Linked DNA regions of Xenopus tropicalis. Each later gene encodes a partner of the first gene's protein in a complex. Links are inferred from orthologs where the notes say so. Each region holds a gene or a part of one and is shown on either strand. Other genes may lie near its edges.

The links. Proteins that work in one complex are often made in the same cells at the same time.
Region 2: cpsf3 (region 1) and cpsf4 share a complex: the UniProt entries of both Homo sapiens proteins name them as parts of the cleavage and polyadenylation specificity factor (CPSF) complex. The link is inferred for Xenopus tropicalis from reciprocal best matches to the Homo sapiens genes CPSF3 and CPSF4.

The regions. Positions count from the first base shown.
Region 1 is NC_030681.2:137,813,767-137,818,084, reverse strand, and holds part of cpsf3 (cleavage and polyadenylation specificity factor subunit 3), read right to left. Parts: intron 2,726-4,318; coding exon 2,579-2,725; intron 2,203-2,578; coding exon 2,050-2,202; intron 1,950-2,049; coding exon 1,841-1,949; intron 1,391-1,840; coding exon 1,292-1,390; intron 361-1,291; coding exon 266-360; intron 1-265. UniProt on the Homo sapiens protein: Component of the cleavage and polyadenylation specificity factor (CPSF) complex that plays a key role in pre-mRNA 3'-end formation, recognizing the AAUAAA signal sequence and interacting with poly(A) polymerase and other factors to bring about cleavage and poly(A) addition.
Region 2 is NC_030685.2:47,261,644-47,265,594, forward strand, and holds the start of cpsf4 (cleavage and polyadenylation specificity factor subunit 4), read right to left. Parts: upstream 2,801-3,951; 5' UTR 2,624-2,800; intron 2,508-2,623; exon of another isoform or gene 2,453-2,507; 5' UTR 2,299-2,452; coding exon 2,196-2,298; exon of another isoform or gene 2,144-2,195; intron 1-2,143. UniProt on the Homo sapiens protein: Component of the cleavage and polyadenylation specificity factor (CPSF) complex that play a key role in pre-mRNA 3'-end formation, recognizing the AAUAAA signal sequence and interacting with poly(A) polymerase and other factors to bring about cleavage and poly(A) addition.

The DNA of each region.
Region 1 (4,318 bases):
AAATACAAGCCAAGTGCCATTACCAACTGGCCCTATAAATGTTCACAGACTCTTTAAAGCTGATATTATCCCTTGGGATCAGGCACATTGCCAGATACATTGCCTGTTTTCTATATGGAGAGTGGGTCAACCCAGATACACAATATGGCAGCTCCACTCACACTGATAAAATACCAGAGCAACCATAGTGGGTACCACTATTACAACTGTTTCTCCCACAAGGCAGATATTAGTAGCAGGGGAACAGAGTGAGATATAAAGTTACCTCCAGGTACACCATCCCAGCGTCCCTCACAACAGTGACAGCTTTGAATACCCTCAGTGCATCTTTCTCATTCACTTCAATCTCTTCCACATCCCCTGAAAGGAGAGAGAGAAAGGCTTATTATAGCAGGTCTGCCTGATGCCCATGCCCTGGCAGCACCTGTTGGTTTTAATGCCAAGTCCTATACAATACATGCAATATACATTTCTGTCATATACATTTTCATCATTTCACATGATATTGAAAAGAGATGGGGTGGCTACAAAGATTGGGGAACAAGACATGGAAATTAGGGAGCATGCAGAGAGGTCAGACAGACTGGGAAATGAGTATATAGTATGTAGAGATGAATTGGAGATCAGGGGGGAAGCAGGGAAAGGCCGGCAGGTTATGGGACAGAAGCAGATGGCATATTGTATTTGCCAGTTGTAGCCATTCTCTCTATATCAGTCAGGAGTCCCTACCTCATTAACCAATATGGCCGTATCTCCCTATAATACAAACTAGATGTATGCTAGTGTGCAACACAGCTGACATGGAAAAGTAAATGTATTTTAAGGACAGGGCTAGCTGAGTGGTTTCCCTGCTCTCCAGTCTATAATCAATAGCTCCCAATAAAACCCGTCACTTGGGAGAATGTTGGTGATAAAAATGGATCACCATTTGGATTGCAGTCTTAGGTTTGCCAAAATGGATCCTACCCTCGGGGCCCTGGGTAAGTCAGAATGCCTCATTTCCCAACCTAAGAAAACATTAAGTACATGGGGATAGACTATCTACTGTCCTTCAGTGACAGGTTCACTAAAACAGCACCCTCAATGACCTTACACATAACAATATTATATAATTTCCACTTTAACTAGGGACATTCTCAGACACTGGGGCCCCAGGGCAAATGTAATGTTTTATGGCTTTATCACTCAATGCGATTCCACTGTCCTGTATCAGCCCATCACAGAAATGAATGTCACAGGGGTCAGGCAGGGCAGAGATGACCCTTTGTGTATATATAAGAAAGGATGTTACCTGTAAGCTGCTGTAACTGGCAAGACAGAAGGTTAAAAGGGCCAGTATATGGAATGGCCTGTTTCTGCGTGACGGTGCTCATGGCCAAGTCAGTATAACCTACAGACAGAAAAACAGAGAATTACAGTTAGCTATACTACATTAAATCACATTACATTAAGTTGATTAAAGATGACATATACCTTGATTTTAAATATAATGTTATACAATAGAAGGAAATACATTTGTTTAGCATACCATGTCATTCCAGTTTCTATAAAAACCCTGAACAATAATCTACCGTAGCTCCCCTTACTCTCACTTTCCCTTCTTATTGTCTAGCAGAGCCAAAGCAGCCAGGGGCTCTATAATATACATGACGTTCGTATCTGCAATACTGGCTCTCCCCTGTCTTATTGCAACTCAAAGCAACCAATTAGTGATTAATTTCTTTTACCCACCTGGAGGTAGAACAATTAAAACCAAACATTTGATTTGTTGCCATAGGTTACTGCCCAAGTGCAAATTTGCCCAGTGGTAATAAATGAGCTGCACTGCGGCTTCACTTACTAGAGAGGTCACTGGGACAAAGTATGTGATAGTTAAAGTTCCTCTTCACCAGGATCCCTGAAATCCTCTGTCCTTGCTCTGGCTTCTTGTCTGCCAGTAAACCCATCACCTGGTGGACAGAAACTGCAATGTGAATCTGAAAATGCCACCGAGCAGCAGTTTGCATTCCAAAACCAACGTGGGCCCTGTCTTTCGGGGCAGTGCTGTACCTTTGCCAACTTTTCTCCTCTGAAGTTCAGTGTCACCGCCTCTGTGTTCCTGGGGTTGTGAACCTCAATCTCTACTTCATCATTGTCCTCGTATTCTCGTATGAGAGCAGCTTTTAGCCTTGCCATTTCATTCTGTTCCCCATGCACCAGTATCTGTGGATATTACAAATAAATGCCTAAAGGGGAAGTTCATCGTTGATACAACTTTAAATATAAAAGTACAAAGCGACAGAGTCCAATTTGCTTATAGCCCAGGTAGTGGCTTCTAACAAAACTGACCCCAGAATGAGTGTGGGGATTCAGAGTCCTTTAGCAGAGAAATTATAATAGAGGATTTGATATAACTGATAAAATTGCACTGCAGTGTTCATTCATATAAATAATTCTAGGACTAAAGGTGGATGAACTCCAACTGGCTGTGCTGGCAGTTCCAATGCTTTTTATGGCACATATTGCGTCAAGGGATGTGCAAGCCTAACAGGGAGATCAATTGCAGGAATGGGGAAACAAGGTGGGGACTGATACTCACCACATGAGGAGGTTTCAGGGCCCGGACAAACTCGCTGGTTTGCTGGTAATCTGTGTGGGCTGAGAATGAAATGTAATCCACAGACATCTTAAGCGGCAGCTTCTGCCCAGACATGGTGGCGATCTCCTCGGGCTCAGACATGATATGCTGTGGGAAGGAAGTTCCATCAGAACAGGGGGAAGCCTGCATGTCTTATACAGCTACATGGGATGCTGACACATATATACAATATTCTGTTCATTATATTAATATATACTAAGCCCATTTTCCATACATACACCATTTTGCTTCTTCTTACATTTACATGATAAAATCAAATGTTGGGGTGGTGGCACAGGCCAGACAGTGAGATATTTTGCACTGACACAGCTAGGTACCTAGGTACTAAGACTCCTGGTGTCACTCTGTTAGGGGTGTCTAATGCATATGATGGACATTAATCACTATACTATATTTATGAGTGCAGAGTGCTAAAATGGATGTAGGGCTGTACATGCTCTGCTTCACAAAGTAACTTTGCTCTCACACATTTAGATCTTGCAGGAAGTGCCTAGTGTAGAGAATTGTGCAATGTACAGGCTACAACAGAACCCAGGAACCAATCCAGAGTTGCAGGGTTCCCCTAGAGTGTTGTGTCGACACATGCAATAGAGTTGTGTCAAATGAGCTGGATGCTAATGCTGTTATTGTCATTGTTATTATTCATTTTTTTTTCCAAGTAGACCCACCAAGCTTGTGTATTTTGAGACCCCAGCAGGTGTAGAAGCAAAGTGCAGCAGGGTCCCAAAGTCTTTTTGATGTATTTCCAGATGCCACCAGGCAGAGATGCAAGACTAAAGCACAGTAAGGTCCCAGTATCCCCCCACACCAATGCAGACAAACACAGGTTGGCCTGTGCCGGCAGGCAGGTTTTGGTGTGAGCTGTGTAATGATGCTGGATATCAAACTCCCAAGCAGCCTAACAGCTATTAAACTACAGTCCAACGGTCATTAACAGCCTAATACACTTTTAAGGGGGTAGTTTACCTTTAAGTTAACTCTTTGTATGTTATAGGATGGGCAATCCTTAGTAACTTTTCAATCGTGCTTTTTTTTTTTTTTTTTTATATCTTATAGTTTTTTTAATTATTTTCCCCACTTTTTTTTTTTTAATCTTTCTAGCTTTCAGATGGGGGGGTTACTGACCCCAGCAGGCAAACAACTACTGCTCTGTGATGGTACAATGTTATTGTTTTGGCTACTTTATCTTACTCACCTTTCTATATTCAGCCCCTGCCCTATTAATACCCTAGCCTTTCATTCAAACCACTGCCTGGTTGCTAGGGTAATTTGGACCATAGAAACCAGATAGCTGCTAAATTCTAAACTGGAGAGATGTTAAACAAAAAAGCGAAATAATTAAAAAAAACACCTATAATAATAAAAATAATAAAAACTGAAGACCAAAAGCAAATTGTCTGAGAAAATAAATACCTGCAACATACTAAATGTTAATTTTTAGGGAAACAACCCCTTTTAGCAGAGCTGGGATGATAGTTAATGACTAGAAAATGGGCAGAGTTTGGCACCTATAGAACTAGTAAAATGTTAATGGAGGAATGCACTAACTAGGTAACCCTAGATTTGACTGAGAGTGACTGAGGATGTGGGTAAGATGACAAAATTTGCAGTTGCATCCAAATTTAGTTGAATATGCCCACTGTGTCATGTGACTAGGCACAAGTGAAAAATATATTTGCC
Region 2 (3,951 bases), on another chromosome or scaffold:
GAATTTAGGGCTGAATGGTCAGAGAGGAGTAGAATGCCTATTGTTTCTACTGCCACATCCGACGAATTAGCCCTGAACGTCATTGGAGGGTATGAACAATTTTTCGTGAGACCAATGGTCACAGGAAAGATTGTAATTGTTACGTGTATAGCCAGCTTTAGAATGTCAGTTTTTTACACTGTTTTGAAACAGAGGTGATGCAACACAGGGAGAGCTGTGAAATTCTGTCACCAAAGCAGTTGTACTGGAAGATACATTAGACCAGGGGTGGGCAAACTACGGCCCGCAGGCCACGTCCGGCCCGTTGGTCCTTTTAATCTGGCTTGCCGACTCTGGAAGTCTCATGACGCGAGGCGTCTGACAAGTGGAAACGGTGTAATGCTGGCCCGGCCCGTCTGTAAGTCAATGTGGCCCCTGAGCCAAAAAGTTTGCCCAACCCTGCATTAGACAGTTTCAAAAGAGGGTTGGATGCCTTCTTAGAAAGTGAGAAAATCTAGGGTTACAGTACTCTTAGAAGTTGATTTAGGAACTAGTCCAATTGCCCTTCAAAGTCAGGAAGGAATTTTACCCTGCTGAGGAAAACTGGAGATAGCTTCAGATGTTTATTTTTTTGTTTGCGATCCTCTGGATCAATGTTCAATTCTGTTATAATATCACCCCGATCACAGTGCTACCTATACTGGATAGGGAAAAATGTACTGCTCAAACTGGTATATTACGTCTGCTTCTCATAGTAACCTTGCAAGACAACTTCAGGCTAGTACGCAATGCATATGTTTTCCCACCAGTTATTTACATTAATGCTGATGGGAAGAGAGCTTTGGACGTTTTGTTGCTCGAACTGGAGAAGAGTATGTGCAGGTGGCAATACGTCCCATATGCCATTGCCTAATGTAAGATTGCAAGCTACAAAACACAACCTGCTTGTCACACCTTATAGGCAGCATAAGATTCACAAGAAGGACCAGCCATGTACACAATTGCCTGGGTTGGCAAGTACTCCAGCATCCTGTTCTGTACTAAAATCTGTTATTACACTATAAATGTTGATGGAAAGTTGCTACTTTCCGAAGCTCTCATATGCCTTTGGTTGATTTCTAGGTCTAATTTATTGAAAGCTTTAAAGGAGACATAAAGGATAACCACAAAACCTCTAATCTTGTAGGCAATTATGGTGCTGGTTTCACTTTGGACTAAAAATTAATACTATCTGTAAAAATGGTCCTTTTTTGGAGCTCCCTATAGACCGTCTCCTAATGCTCCCTGCCAGAAGCACAGTAGGATAGTGATAGCCAATCACAGCCCTGCAGTCACACAGGCAAAGACAGGCTTCAGTTCCCTATCAGGTCAGCCTAGCTGCTGATTGGTTCCTATCCTACAGTACAGTGTGCCCCCTCAATTCATTGGCACAATATTGTTTTTAACACAACATGTCCCCCTGGTTATTAGATCCCATGACCCACTTTGCATGTGCCTGTGTGAGTGTGTGTGAACTGGTCAGCATAGTCAAACCTACATAATTCAGCTTATTTATGCAACTTGTTACTTTTACATTTGCAAGCAGCTTGTATGTTATAGATACCTCTATAGGACAGATAGTGCATGTTTCTCTCTCTGGGAGTATATCAGATATAAGGAAGATAACAGTAGTTATGGTTTTTATTTCAAAGCCAATTGACTGTGTGTTACAAAACCACGTGACTGACATACAGGGAAACCAGGGACTGACAGGCGCGGAAAAGTCTCACACAATTTGCTATTAAAATCGCTGTCATTATCCTAGATAAAGGGGTACGTTGACTTTGGGCAGATATTTTTTCAGACCCTGGCTTGCGTCCCGTCCTTTTTAAAATACCTATAACCTGCTTTCACAGCAGGATAACGTCCAACCTGCGGCCATCCATTTGTTGACTTAAAACTCACAGCTATCCCTGAGAGCTGTAAATTACTAACAGCTAAAAGACCCCCAAGTAAGATTTCACTTCTCTGAAGAACAAGACAAAAAAGAAACCAGGTCCCACTATTCAGTTTCTAATGCATAAAGTCACGTGTAGGTCGCTGCCTCATGCCCAAAGAGTCGGATTTAGATCACACTATCCACTCTTTAAAAAAACATCATAGGGCTAAGAGAAGGGATCATTACCCGGTTTAAAAGCCCACCCCGGTAATGGGAGGGATCAGGCCCCGGTACTCACTGTCCATGCCCGGGAAAGGGAGGGGTTGAGCCCCCAGCTGTTGTTCCACGGCCAGTTCCAGATCGAACCGGATATGATCCACACAAGCAATTAACTCCTGCATCGTTATCGTTACCGGTACCGAGTCCGACACCAACACCAAATATCAGCATCAGACTCATCCAGCAGAACGCCGAACGATGGATTTCTCAACCTAGAGCAGGGCACTCTGGGAAAGAACCAATGCAAAGCACGTCGGGAGGAGGCGGGGCTGAAAGCTGTGGGTGGAAAAAAAAAAAGATTAAAATCGAAACGTGAGAGCGATGTTGGATAGTAAGTTAATAAGTTGGATGTTATTTGTATAAAGCAATTTAGAAATGTTCGTTATGGTACATTTACTGATCAGAATTGTGTATAGAAAGGCAATACTACGGAGTAAGGTGTCTCACAAAGGATAGAGGACGAATATTTTGAAACTTGTTAGGATGTCGGATTACAGACAGTACGATTGTAAATGCAATATGTAATGTGAAATGTATGCTTTTTAGCGCAGTAGTCTTTGCTTAGTCCATGTGTTTTAATAGGGAAATCTGTGTGTCTCTGTCAGTATCTCCCAGCAGTGCCAGGAAACCCCGGCAATGTGACATATTGGCAGTGCTCTCAGCAATACAGGCATGTGTAGCTAAAGGTTACAGGGCCCTAAAGCAAAAACATTCTGCCCGTCCTTCGCTTTAGCAATAATGAAACTTTTCATAATCATATTTTGAAACTGTCTATCTGTCAGTATTACAAAGGAATCTCTATACAGTCCGCAGCTGCTGGGTCCACTTTCTAGATATGACACTGGAGAATACAGAATAGGGAAATCTATATATACCCGTCGCTATAACGTATTACTACTTCTTACATAGTATTTTGGCATTAGGGAATTATTAACAAAAAAAGGGTTAGTTTTTCTTAAATCTGCTAATGAAATTTGGCTTGTGTCCCAAGCACTGTCCCAAAGTTGGAGGGGGGTCACACTTTTTTCCCCCTAACAAGTTCCTATTGTGAAAATACTTATTTTGGCAATAGGAATTTGTTAATTAGAGGTCAACAAACAAGCATTCGCTTTAAAGGAGCAGAATATATCCCCAGCAAGAGTCCAGTAAATAGGCCAAAAATATCCTTTGCCTTCTATTTTAATTAAGAAATATCTATAGTTTTGCAGTTTCTTGCATTATATATGGCAAACTCTGGAACTGAAAGCTCCTTGATTTTCCAGCTTCCTAGTTCTTCTAAGCAATTGTGGGGTGAGAAGATAGTAAAACAGTTTACTAGTCCACAGATAACTCATTTTTCTAGGAGAAGGGTATATTTGTTTATGCAGCGGTCATTTTCTCTTTTTAAATGAGGACTAACTCTCCCACAAGCAAAAGCCCCATAGCCTACCCTTAATTAACCCCATTCCTGCTCACTCCCGGCAGAGTCTGTTAGAAAAGTGCCCATTTTTCTGTGAGGAAGTTGCAGGGAGGGGGGCCAATTGAGGCCAGGCAATGAGGGGCTTTTTCCTGTGGGGGGGTTTAGTTCACCTTTAAACAAATTCTTTATCCCTAGTCACTAACAGGACTGAGGGCCTCATTGCTTACCTTTGTGCTTGAACTATCATAAAGGAAACCCCACTTTTTGAGTTTGCTAATTCATTCTGGGTTTTGGGTGGAAAAATCTCAGCAATTGATGTTATTTCCCCTAATGGGTTTTTGTAACAAATGAAAATTTACAGAAGTTAGGGAAAGTT